2 linked regions of the Arabidopsis thaliana genome follow. The protein of the gene in region 2 purifies or fractionates together with the protein of the main gene of each other region. This does not show direct contact. Each region holds a gene or a part of one and is shown on either strand. Other genes may lie near its edges. The genes, in order: AT5G08630 and HDT4.

The links.
Region 1: the proteins of HDT4 (region 2) and AT5G08630 fractionate together in Arabidopsis thaliana (co-fractionation; one large-scale study listed by BioGRID). This does not show direct contact.

The regions. Positions count from the first base shown.
Region 1 is NC_003076.8:2,797,217-2,804,973, forward strand, and holds AT5G08630 (DDT domain-containing protein), read right to left. Parts: upstream 5,956-7,757; 5' UTR 5,771-5,955; exon of another isoform or gene 5,462-5,770; intron 4,944-5,461; 5' UTR 4,923-4,943; coding exon 4,810-4,922; intron 4,581-4,809; coding exon 4,408-4,580; intron 4,173-4,407; coding exon 3,763-4,172; intron 3,669-3,762; coding exon 3,590-3,668; intron 3,361-3,589; coding exon 3,023-3,360; intron 2,865-3,022; coding exon 2,404-2,864; intron 2,318-2,403; coding exon 2,122-2,317; intron 2,022-2,121; coding exon 1,860-2,021; intron 1,771-1,859; coding exon 1,682-1,770; intron 1,510-1,681; coding exon 1,359-1,509; 3' UTR 794-1,358; downstream 1-793. Other genes in the region: STRS2 (DEA(D/H)-box RNA helicase family protein), read left to right, coding at 60-332; FLS1 (flavonol synthase 1), read left to right, coding at 6,793-7,259, 7,331-7,658, 7,744-7,757.
Region 2 is NC_003071.7:11,859,784-11,864,581, reverse strand, and holds HDT4 (histone deacetylase-related / HD-like protein), read right to left. Parts: upstream 2,777-4,798; 5' UTR 2,498-2,776; coding exon 2,485-2,497; intron 2,055-2,484; exon of another isoform or gene 2,041-2,054; coding exon 1,970-2,040; intron 1,878-1,969; coding exon 1,657-1,877; intron 1,545-1,656; coding exon 1,525-1,544; intron 1,441-1,524; coding exon 1,405-1,440; coding exon of another isoform or gene 1,331-1,404; exon of another isoform or gene 1,312-1,330; coding exon 1,253-1,311; coding exon of another isoform or gene 1,205-1,252; exon of another isoform or gene 1,162-1,204; coding exon 1,020-1,161; intron 925-1,019; coding exon 875-924; 3' UTR 674-874; downstream 1-673. Other genes in the region: AT2G27830 (uncharacterized protein), read right to left, coding at 3,276-3,848. UniProt on the Arabidopsis thaliana protein: Probably mediates the deacetylation of lysine residues lysine residues on the N-terminal part of the core histones (H2A, H2B, H3 and H4).

The sequences.
Region 1 (7,757 bases), on a different chromosome or scaffold from region 2:
TCTTAAGAGTATGTAACTCGAGTGAGCATTGATGGGTGTTGAAAACATGTTAAAATCAGGTGCAGAAAGGGCTTATCCAAGTGGAAATGACGAACAAGGAGGCGGCATATCAGGCATGGTTGGGTTACTACAAATCGCAGAAGAAGATTGCTAGAGACACGACCAGACTGGTGGAGTTAGCTAATGAGTTTAGCCGCAGTATGGGACTTAGCATCCCTCCGGCTATCCCTGTAAATATTCTTGGCAAGATGGGTCTCAAAAACGTTCCTGGTATTAGAGTCGCTCCAGGTTTTGACAAGAAACCTGCAAAGAGAAATTATCGTTCCCGCTAGATTTTCTCTTTCTTTGCCTAATGGTATTGTTTGTGTTGAACTTTATTGCTTTTTTGAAGTTTGGCATTTTGGTAAAAGTTACCTTCTTAAGAATTTCATTTGGTAATTTACTAATTTGTCAAGATCCGGTTTGTTTCGGAGCCCAAAAATCCGAAAATAAAAAATTCAGAAAAAATAGAAATTTCTTTGGTTAACTGATCGGTTCATCTCTTCCAAAAAATTATCTAATCGGTTCATCTTACCGAACCGAATTTGTTACCCAAAAAGAAAGAGTTCCGATTGGCTTTTTGGCTGAAAACTAAACCTGACTTGTAGTCCTTGGTTTGCTTCTGAATCATAGCTAGGCTGTTCAACATTGTAAATTCTGTCTTACAGCCCACAGGTGTGGGTGTAATTACCTGGATTTGAAAATGAGAACTGACTTTCTTCTCCGAGTAGTTGTATACTGTATAGATTCAAATGTCGAACTACCAAATTCATGTTTTGATTTTTTTAAAACAAAAAACAAGGGTACAACGATGGTCCTAAATGTTTATTTTGGAGCTAAAACAAAGATGACATGCCATCAAATTTATCAAACCGCACTGAAAACAAAAATAAGTCAAAAGGTTTTAGCCTAATTAATCTAAGTCTTCTGTAACAAAGCTTAGAAATATAGCCACCAACCAAAATCAGACATAGATGCAAATCTGCAATGAAACATTTTAGGAATAGTAATAAAACTTCTAATTTCCCCGGAAAAAATAAAAAATAAATGGTACCTCGGTATCATAGAGTACTGAAAAGAAGGTGATGATGAATGGTAACAGAAAAACAAAACAAAACCCAACACCATCTTTCTACTCAAGCGTTGCCTTCACCATACCATAAGACTAATGCCTTTTTGTTGTAACTTGTAAAAAGCTCTACTAAACCCTAAAGGAGCCAAAGAAAAAACAGAGAAGACAAGCTGAAAATGGTAAGTTTTGGCTATGGCTGCAACTGCAACTACAAGCTTTTCCTATACAGAATTGAATTCTGCTACGTTTAGTCCTCTTTCCACTTGTTAACATATCTCAAGAAGGCACTAGCTGGATTTTCATGTAGTGGAGCTCTTACACGGGTAGATCTCCTAACCACTGCTTCTTCCATTTCTATGTTGTGAGCAATGTCCTTCGTCCTCTTTTGTAGTGTAGAGCTGCAAATCACAAGTCATCGCCAGGTTTTAAAGCCATTACACATAAACAAGGGGACTTCGATAAATGTGGTGTTACTCTTCTACATGTGCATTAAAGTGAGGGTAGAACAAGTTACCAGAATAATAAATACTGCAGATTATGCAAAATAGAAATGGGAAGCTATAAACTGACCATATTCTGTCATAGAATATCTCTAGTTGTGTATATAATGACAGTTCCCTCTCTCCTTTACGGTTTAGTGACCCCATCAATGCATCCAGCTGGATCTCAAGTAACATACACAAATCGGAACAAGAACTATACAATCCATTTATCAAACAAAGAAATGAACCACGTGGATTGATGATACCTCTTCCTTGGCGGTATAATAGCCCCATTCTTCGGAATCAGAATTCTCAACAAATATTCTCCCATTGCTTCGGAACCACCAGTACCTGTTGTAGTCCCGATCTTTACCCAAGGGGTTTGTACGTATGACTATTTTCTCCATCTCCCGCTCATAATATTGCCTCTGCATGTATACAAAAAATTTCAGACTTGATGGGTAAAAAAAGCACACACGGGGAATATATGCAAACAACCAAATATAACTATGAGGGGACGGACTTTACCCTCTGTTCGGGCCCCCTCCTTTCAAAAGTTCCTTTCTCATCTTCGCTTGCAGATTTTACCTCCTGCTTCTTCACTGAAAATCCTTTCTCCTCTTCGTCCTCCTCTGCTTTCTCATCCTCCTCCTCCTCTTTTGGTTCGATTTTTGTATCCGTCATCTGCCTTTTGTGCTTTCTCAGATAGACATTCCCTATAAGCCTATCACAACCATAAGAACAATGAGCTCCCACCAAGTCATCCAAAAACAAAATGTTCTGCTTATGTGTAAATAGGATAAGCCAAACCTTTTCTCTGATTTTTCAATGTTTTCCGAAGAAACAGACCCATTCTCCATCTTGCTTCCCCCTGCAGTGCTCTCATTCTTTTTGCTGTCTTCACTGCTTTCTAATACTTGTGCGCTATTTTTCTTTTTCTCCAACCTATTATTGTCTAAAACTCCATTAGCTTCCTCACCAGTTTTGGACCGTTCTTTCTCCTCTCTTATCTGTCGGGCCTCCGCCAATGCTTCTTCTCTTCTAGCAGCTCCAAGGGCATGCCGTTGTTCAACAAGCTCATCTATTTCCCCCTTGAACATACCTGTTTCGGTTATATGGTTCACTAATTCCCTTAAGATTTTCAATTTTACATTTGGGTCCAAGAGACCATAATGTCCACGTTTGATCGTTCCAACATCGAAGCACAAATCAGGAGTGTTGACTGATTCCAGGAAATCACAAAGATACTCTGCCCACGTGATCAATGTTATCTGAAATAAGATGAAATAAAGCAACAAGCATGCCATCAACCACAAAAACAAAACTGAAAAATCACAAGGCTGGCGACTTAATGTTGAATGAGAAAAGCATATTACTGTGCGGCCTAATTTGTTAGCCAAATATGATTTTCATGAGACGAGGATCTGACCTTCGACTTGCGACTCCTTCTCTGTAAAGCTTTGAAACTATCACCACGTTCATTGATGAGGAACCGAAAAAGAGAGGCATGCACTTCCATGATAAGAACCAAATTACTCTCCTTGTGGCAGACAGCATTTTCAAAGTCTTCAAGAGAAAATCGCCATAGATGCAGCTGCCTACCAAATGAGGTACAAAAGTCCCAGACCATAAGAAGATCCCCAACACAATCCATAGGAACACTAAAATCCCGGGAAGGAGAAGGACGCTGAGTGACATCAGGATCAGGTGGCAAAAGTAAATCTTCGATTGGGTAATTGATAGCCTCTTCCTCAGACCCATTAACCTCTGGAAAGAGAAAACCAACAAAGAGAAATCAGTTCAAAAGTACACAAAAAAGACCAAATTTTTCTCTATTCCTCAAGTCAACAATATTCTCCATAAGCTCAAGAGAACACGTAAGATTATTGATGTCAGCTATAAACCGGAAATGTAAATGATATCGCAAAGGAACTTTTGGCCAACTTTAGAAAACATTGAAATGGAAATGAATTGCAGAGCATCCATGCAAAGCTACCTCTATCTGTCTCCTCTGCAACATGTTTACCATTTTCTGCTCTCTTTCTTTTTCTATTTTCCCTTCCGGTTTTATCTTCCTATAATTTAGCGATGAGACAAAACTGATTAGTACATAGACCAATTATTAGGCCATGCTACAAATTATTGTATGGCGGTGTACTTTATATCAACCTGCTTCCTTTGTTGAACCAGTTCTCCATTCTGAAAGACATATTTGTTCTGAAGTTCCTTGGGAATCTTTCTCGTGATTTCATGTGCTTTAGCCAGGTAATCATTTACTACCCAAGGTATACTGTGGCATGTGGAATCTCGAATGAAGGACTTCAGAAAATTTCTACTAAATGGAAACTTCTTCCATGACAGATCCTCCCCAAAGAGCACTGTGTTATCATCTACTTCCTTGTTTTTGTCAAGGAAGCCTACCTCATACTGAGGTTTACTATCCCCATCTGATACTATCCTCAAGATTTTGCAAGGATGCAGTTCCCCATCCCTTTCCCCATACAACTCTGCGCCAGGGAAAAAGCAATCTTGCAACTCTGTCGCTATTTTGTCAGCAAGATCTTTCAATGAAAGCGTACCTTTTCAAAATGGAGGAAAAAGAGTCAGAAATAATGCTCATAAACCAGAGATTTCAAGTATTAAGAAAATTATCTTACACAAACAAATTCAAAACGGTAAAAAGGTAGTCCTGATTTGCAAAACTTATAGAGAGAAACCGAGAAAGGTAAAATCAAGACTTGGACACTCTGCAAATCAAGACTTCGACACACTTATATCACATAAAAATAATCAATGAAGGAGTTAAAAACTTACTGAATTGGATGATGCGTAAAGCAGGTGCAACTAGCTCTCTGGGCAGAGTTTGAACCTTCTTGCCTGCCAGTTTTTCTGAATCTAAGGCCTCCTCGTAGCTCAAGCTAGTTTTACCAGTAGACTTACAAGTCCAAACTCGGTTGCGATACAGATTTAACCTCTTCAAGTACAATCTATTTTATGTTAAGCAAACAAATAGTTCTGACACGGCATGTGCACTGATAAACATGAACAACCAAGCCTTTGAAGAATAATATGAATAAAGGTTGTCCCAGAATGAAACAGGCAAACAGAATTACAAGTTTTAAGCTTATTTCTCTTTCCTCTAACTGCACACAGAAGGAGAAGGCAAATATTCAAAACATAAGTCTTAAAATTGTAACAGTTACAGAATAAGGATACTGATAATCTCGAAAGATCTCATTTGTTAGACGAACTTGATAGACAAGTTCTTGAGGCTCCAAGTTCTTTGGGGGCTCCAGTAGTTTATGTGACTTCTTTTTTAGTAGAGGCATCCTTCAAATGGCAAAACCAACCTGCAGTGTAGACAAAAATGAATGGTCTATATAAGTGATTCTCATATTCACTAATGTGAAATCCTAGTAAATGTAGAACCAGGTCATCCAAGCAAGAAGGGAATTGTATACAAAAGCAAGACGTCACAGTTGTTCCAAAGCGGAAAATGTAAACCATGGAGAACAGAAAATCAACCCATAAGGCGTTTAAGGTGACACAACGGTCAAGTAAAACTTAGCAAACGTACAAATTTGTGGCACAGAATGCAAATGATTGCATGCAAGCCTAGAGCTGATTCTAATTTCTACTGAATTCGACAGAGCCTATGGAAAAGCAAGTGGTACTTGTGAGATCATGTGCAAAAAAGAAAAGCCAATGAAAAATGTTAAGAAAAGCAATGCAGAAGAAACCGAGATAGCACTAAACCCTAGAAAAATCGCAATCCCAATCGAAATTAGAAAAGATCTGAAACCATGGGACAAAATTGACACTTGAGAGCAAAGGAACCAAAACGAAACCGAGGAATCAAAACACATACCCAAGAGAGATCGAGAAAAAGAAAGCACTATCATGCGCCACTTTCGGAGAATCCAGAAGGCGAAACGGACAAGTAAAACACACAAAAAGCAGTCAAAAAAGCATAACAACACATGTAACAAAGAAGAGACGAACACAATCATCAATAACAAACAAAACGGAACGAAAATTCGAAGCTAATGCAACGAAATCACAACGAAGAAAGCAAAATCGCAGAAGAAAAGAGGATCGATGTTCCCGCCACAACAAAGAAAACGATTGGAGAGAATTATAAACAACGAAATTAGAGAGACTCAATCAAAAATCTTACGGAGAATGTATGAAATTGGGAATGCGCGTCGTCGAGAGAGAGAGGTGGTCTCTCAAGGAAAGAATACAAGTGTTGAGATCTCACCGTCTCTCTTCGTTTTTCTCTTCGCTCTCTCTCTCTCTCTCTCGCTCTCAGCTCTTTTTGGTCGTCGTCCTTCCTTATGGGAAAGACGGGAAAAAAAACTTAATATGCGAATTAGCCTCTCACCTTTTTTTTGTTATTTTATATCTTAAGTAGCACTCGGTTTCCTTTTTTTGTTTATACAGGTGTTGCTGTTTTAGAGCCCTATACTGTAGTTTTTCCTTTTTCTATAGTAGCCCAATAACTGGGCCTTGTCTTGTTATATGGGCCTTGAATCTTTAGCTTTAAATGGGGTTGGATTTGAAACCAGTATTTTATTCATTGCTTACGATTTAAAATGGTAAAGCCTTAACTCTCCACCATTATTATTTGATTAAATTCCAAATGATGTTTGACCAAAAAAAGAAAACTTCAAATAACCCACTCTAGAAACCAAGTCATTAAATAATGTTTCCTGTGTAAAATTCATGGACCAATCGAAATGCAGAAGAAAATCTTTACAGTAATTAGAATGGCCAACCAAAGTTTGTTGTTTTTGTTTTTGTTTTTGTCAACGACTCAAGATGATATTTATTTGTGTTTACATGAACACCCGCCAAAAATATGTACTAAAATATCTATTTCAAATATGGTATTTTATGGCCTAAAATATAATAACATCACTTTTTTCCTTTTCTTAAAACTACCACCACAAAACAACAAATCAAATTAATTAAATTCTTCATCCATAAATCTATCAAAACTTGGTACCAAACTCGTGAGTGACGAAGCCTCGACGACTTACACATATCAACACGTACTTTATGTGGTAGTTGTCTCTATCCAGCGGCCAAGATTTCGCCACGTCCTCACTTCCTCCCTCCTTAAAACCACTCGTAACACCATCCCCCAAATTACATATCCGCCATTGTTTCCGGCAACGCAAACTACCAAAAAAAATAATGGAGGTCGAAAGAGTCCAAGACATTTCATCTTCTTCTCTACTAACAGAAGCAATCCCGTTGGAGTTCATCAGATCAGAGAAAGAACAACCAGCGATCACAACATTCCGAGGTCCAACGCCGGCGATTCCCGTCGTCGATCTAAGCGATCCCGACGAAGAAAGCGTGAGGCGCGCGGTGGTGAAAGCGAGTGAAGAATGGGGGCTATTCCAAGTGGTTAACCACGGGATTCCGACGGAGCTGATACGACGTTTACAAGACGTCGGAAGAAAATTCTTCGAGCTTCCTTCGTCGGAGAAAGAATCCGTCGCTAAACCGGAAGATTCGAAAGACATTGAAGGATACGGAACAAAGCTTCAGAAAGATCCAGAAGGTAAAAAAGCTTGGGTCGATCATCTCTTCCATCGAATCTGGCCACCGTCATGCGTCAATTACAGATTCTGGCCTAAGAATCCACCTGAATACAGGTAAACCAAAACAGAATCATCAAAAATTCAAATTTTGTAAACCGAAGTTAACCGTTGGTTTAATGTATTAGGGAGGTGAATGAAGAGTATGCAGTGCATGTGAAGAAGCTATCGGAGACGTTATTAGGGATTCTCTCGGATGGATTAGGGTTAAAGCGTGATGCGTTGAAAGAAGGTCTCGGCGGAGAGATGGCGGAGTATATGATGAAGATTAACTATTATCCGCCGTGTCCTCGGCCGGATTTAGCTTTAGGTGTACCGGCTCATACAGATCTCAGTGGAATCACTCTTCTTGTTCCTAACGAAGTTCCTGGACTTCAAGTTTTCAAAGATGATCACTGGTTCGATGCAGAGTATATTCCCTCCGCCGTCATTGTTCACATCGGCGATCAGATTCTGGTCTGAACTTTATTATGATTCTTGTATAAAAATGTAGATTAATTTATAAAATGTTTTTAATGGATTGGTTTTGTGAATTTTGCAGAGGTTGAGTAATGG
Region 2 (4,798 bases):
TTCTTTTTAAGAAAACGATATAATCACGGTGGTTCGTTCCAAGTATACCTTTTCGTTTGTAAGTTTTCTCTTTTTGTTTGGTTTGTTTGGCCATGTATGTCGGAGCTGTCAGAAAGCAAGAGGTTAATCGTTTGTAGCGAATGATAAATGTTCGAGTGTATATTTTAAAATGCTTCGTTTTACATGTGTACAAGTACAAGAACAAATGTAATTATCTTCTGTCAAGTAACACATTGTGTTTCGTTCAGAAAAAAAACAAGTGGACTACAGAGTATGAAAGAAAGTCTAGTAGTTTTGGAACGCTCGACAATTAAATTCGATTTTATTTTTAAATTGTAATATATAAATCACAAGTAGCGTCTGTAGTCCAACGGTTAGGATAATTGCCTTCCAAGCAATAGACCCGGGTTCGACTCCCGGCAGACGCATTATCATTATTTTTATATTTTGAATTGTTTTCACTGAATTTTTAATTCAATGAAGGCAAAGCAAACTAGAAGAAAATGAGTCTTTTTTTCTTTCTTTCTAACTCATGTACATAAAATACATTGTTAGAGCATATTCTAGTTCAACTATTTCTGATTTAATATACTCCATCTACTTAGTATTGCGATCAAGATTAGATCATAACATATCGACATTGTATAGTACTTATCATGAATCAGCCAGCAACTTCGAAATTTTATGAACTTGAAAAGAGCAAAAATCATATTTCATTTAAACCCATTAACACTCCAAAATGACAACATAACATATATTATAATAATCCAAAAATTTTAAGATGCCAAAAGCCTCATAAGTCACTCAACGATTCACCAATACAGTCAAGTAAAAATTTCTATTGGAAAAATGTGACTTGGTGTGCAAATATCTTCTACTTTTTGCAAGAGGGACCACAAGGGAATGGGCATCTCTTCTTCCCTCCTGCACCAAAATGGTTTTAAACCAAATCAATAATCCACAATTCTCATCTCATATGCAAAGTTATCTTTATATATCTTAACTTTAGTTTTCGTTACCTGATGACTTGTTCTTCTTTCCACCTTTAGCTATCTCAAATGCACCATTTGGCATCTTTTTGCTCGGAGGAGCCACCTTTAAAGGTGCTTCAGCCTCTACATCTTCTTCATCTGAAGAGTCATCATCCTCGTCCAAACCCATCTAACCAAACATACAGAAAAAAACAACAAGATTACCTTTTTTTTTATACTGATTCATTGCTAATCAGTAAATACTTAAAAGAAAAATCTACCTCATCTGAGTCGGATTCATCATCTTCTTCAGGATTGATCTCATTTTGAGGCAAAGCAGCTTTTCAACAATGTCAAAGTTAGATTTCATAAGAGATACACATGTAAATATGACTACCACAAAGCAGTAGCTTAGTAAAAAAAGTAAACATACCAATTTGTTGTTCCATATATTCATCTAACTCAGAATCTACACAAACCAAAAAGCAAAAGATTAGCTTCAAGCTTCATAATAGAGTAAACCAAATCATCAACTAAAGAATTATAAACTCACCAGAATCAATCTCCTCATCCGTGAGCATCAGAAAAAAGCAGAGCAAAACAAAATCAAGGATAAACAAACAAAGCTTCAAAATTGCAAGTGAGTATGAATTTAACTAGAAAAAGACAATGAAAGAAAGGATATAGTTCGTCAAAAGCATCAAAGGTCCTGTAACCAATAAGATAGACACTGCTTGTACTGTTGTGAGAAATCTCAAACTCGTGCCCTAAGTAGAGATCAATAGAAAATTGAGGAAACTTCTGTGAGAGATTTCCAATCATAAACCCATTCTCATCATCACCAATCTTCACATAAACGGCAAAAGTCTCATCTTTTTTAACCTTCTCAACGTCACCAAGGGTAACCTAAGAGATGTTACAACAAGTAACACAATCAATATCAATCATGGATTTACACAAAGAGAGAAACTTGCAGGAATTACAAAACTGATACAGACCTGAGAGGCATGGACCATGAATCCATCTTTTTGTATCACCTTAAATGGCTTCCCTGGCTTAATCTCGATACCTAAAATTGAACATTATTCATCACACATTTGAGTACAAATTCATACAAAATCTCACAAAGATAGATGCTTTGACACCTAAACTCACAAAGATATAGATACTTTGACACCTAAACTCACAAAGATAGATGCTTTGAAACATAAACTCTTAAAGATAGATACTTTGAAACATAACCTCACAAAGATAGATGCATTGAAACCTAAACACTAAGAATGCTAATATTCCCAAACAATTGTATAGTTTTGAACACAAGAAAATGCGTATTGAGTAATAGAGAGAATTCAATACAGAAGAAAGGCAAGCTTTTGTATAAAGACCAGATTTTTAATCACAGAACGAACTTAGGAATACCAAAATGATTAACTTTAATGGCGAAAACAGTCAATAGGAGTCATTGAGGTATTCAGTAGAACTTAATAAAGATATGATTTTGAGAGAGACATACCCCAAAACTCCATAGCTAGTGAAAGAGGAAGATGTGGCTGCTTGAGAAGAAGAATTTAGGGTTTTAGAGTTTGTTTCAAACAAACAAAAATAATGGAGCGGCTTATTTATAAGGTTACTCTTACTACTCCTTTAAACTTCCTTTTCACAGGTAGGGTTTTTAGTTACTTCTTTTGGAATAGTATATTAATGGGCCTTATTTTTAGTGGGCTTATTTTGAATCGGCCTTATTTGATGGGTTTTAGATATATTTTAATTTTATAGCCATGTCATAAGAGTTGCCTATGATTTGGGTAATTAACTTTGCTTCAATGATCAAAGAGAAAGAATGTTGATTAAACAAATAAGAGAAGGAAGAGCAACACGGCATCAAATTGGTTTACTCAAAAATGTCTGACTTTAGGGATAAGGTTGGGCAATGTCGTTATCACATAAACAGAATGCAAAAGTTCTATTATTAGAGGTCCAAAAAAGATATTATAAAAAGATAATATATAATATACAATGTTCTATTCAGTTTATAATACCCATTTCATGGCTATATTCATCCACGAATAATGCTTTATAGATTTTCAACTATATAATAAAATAAGAATTTCATCAAAATAGTATTGGTAAACTTTAGAACTTCATATAATCATCTTGGTATATAATTGATTAAAATACATTATACACCACTAATTAATGATTTTCATTTCTACATAGAAATAATATACACAGATGTTTTTTATATCCTTTTTCTAAAGAATGGAACTAATTTGAAAAAGCAATAATTCAAAATGATAAAAACTTCTAGAAGCCCATAAATTTGAGCCAATGAAAACCAGTTTTAGCCACTTTCTCTGCTTCCTTAGAACAAGATTCCGACGATAAACCACAGCCGATAAACCCTCCGGTCTCTTTCCGACCACATAAGAAAAAGTTTCTCGACCCTAGCGATATCAACTTCTCGTCTCTTACAATACTCTCAAGACTAAACTGCGAGTAATGAAGATCAAATCGTGACGGTTCAGATTCCGGTAAAAATGGCCGGCGAGCTTCTTTAACGTACTGACGAACGGCGGCGTCGATTAAATCACTCACGGTGGATTCCGGCGAGATTATAATTTGTACGGCTCCTAAACTTCCTTGTACCGTCACGTTAAGTAAAAGTTTCGTCAAACGTGGCGGAAGTGAAACCGTCTCCGGTACGGTGATGCTTTGACCGGTGGAGAATAACTCCGGTAACGTTTTCGGTCTTCGAAGCTCGCCTGGATTTGATAACGGCGTTGTTCCTCTGCCGTGAAACGACATCGCTTTCTCTGATAACTTTCTCCGGTGAGACTTCTCTGTTTCCGGCGTTGTTTTCCGGTTACCGTTCTTCATGTCTTCTAATCTTTATCGTCGGAAGAGTATGAAGCTTGGAGAAGGCGAAGGCTCTCTCGTGTTATCGCCAGTCACCGGAAGAAGCTAGCATAAAGTCAGAGTGGCAAAACTGTAAATAGTGGAGGATGATGAGGGTAAAAGGATAAGAGTAATGGAATGTTAAGAGAATAATACAAAGCTGAAGAGTGAAGTATTTATAGTGGATTTGTAGATAACGAAACGGTGAGAAATTGCTTGGAAATTTCTGAGAGTGTGAGAGAAGGGAACCGGCTATAGGAGGTGAACTGGAGTTTCAGTTATGTGTGTGAGTTCGGTATTGGGTCCAGGTTTAACCGGTGGCTATGAATTTTATGAAATTGTTATATCCACTGGGTCGTAGAAACCAATTTGGACTAAGGTTTTGGTTTGGACTCGACTCTTTGTTATTTTCATTGGTTACTTTGTAATATAGTGTTCACCTCTTGAAATACTCAATGATTATCATTGTTTTTAATTAAGTTTAGTAGTAGTATTTTAGTTTGGTCAACACAATTGATTTTGTGTAATCTTTGTGAAATCAAAGTAATTATGAGAATAAGTTCATTCCCTTTAGTAGAAATTTTACTACAGTATATTCATGTACATGATGCATTAGTAACAGAAAACTTCAAATGAATTTTAATTATATACTTCCTTTTTTACTAAAAGATGCATTTGTAACAGAAAACTTCATAATGGATTTGAATGCATGAATCAGACAATTTTTATGAATTCAAAGTACGATACATAAAATTGATCTGATATGTATTATTTCACAAATGCATGAAGCAAAACAATCTTTTTCACAAAGTGCACACAGTTTTTTTTCTATGTTTTGTGAAATAAAAGCATGTTAGAAAACTACGTATTTTTATTATGTAGTATGTATTTATGTTGCTTTTCTCATTTCTGTATTAATTATCATAAGATAG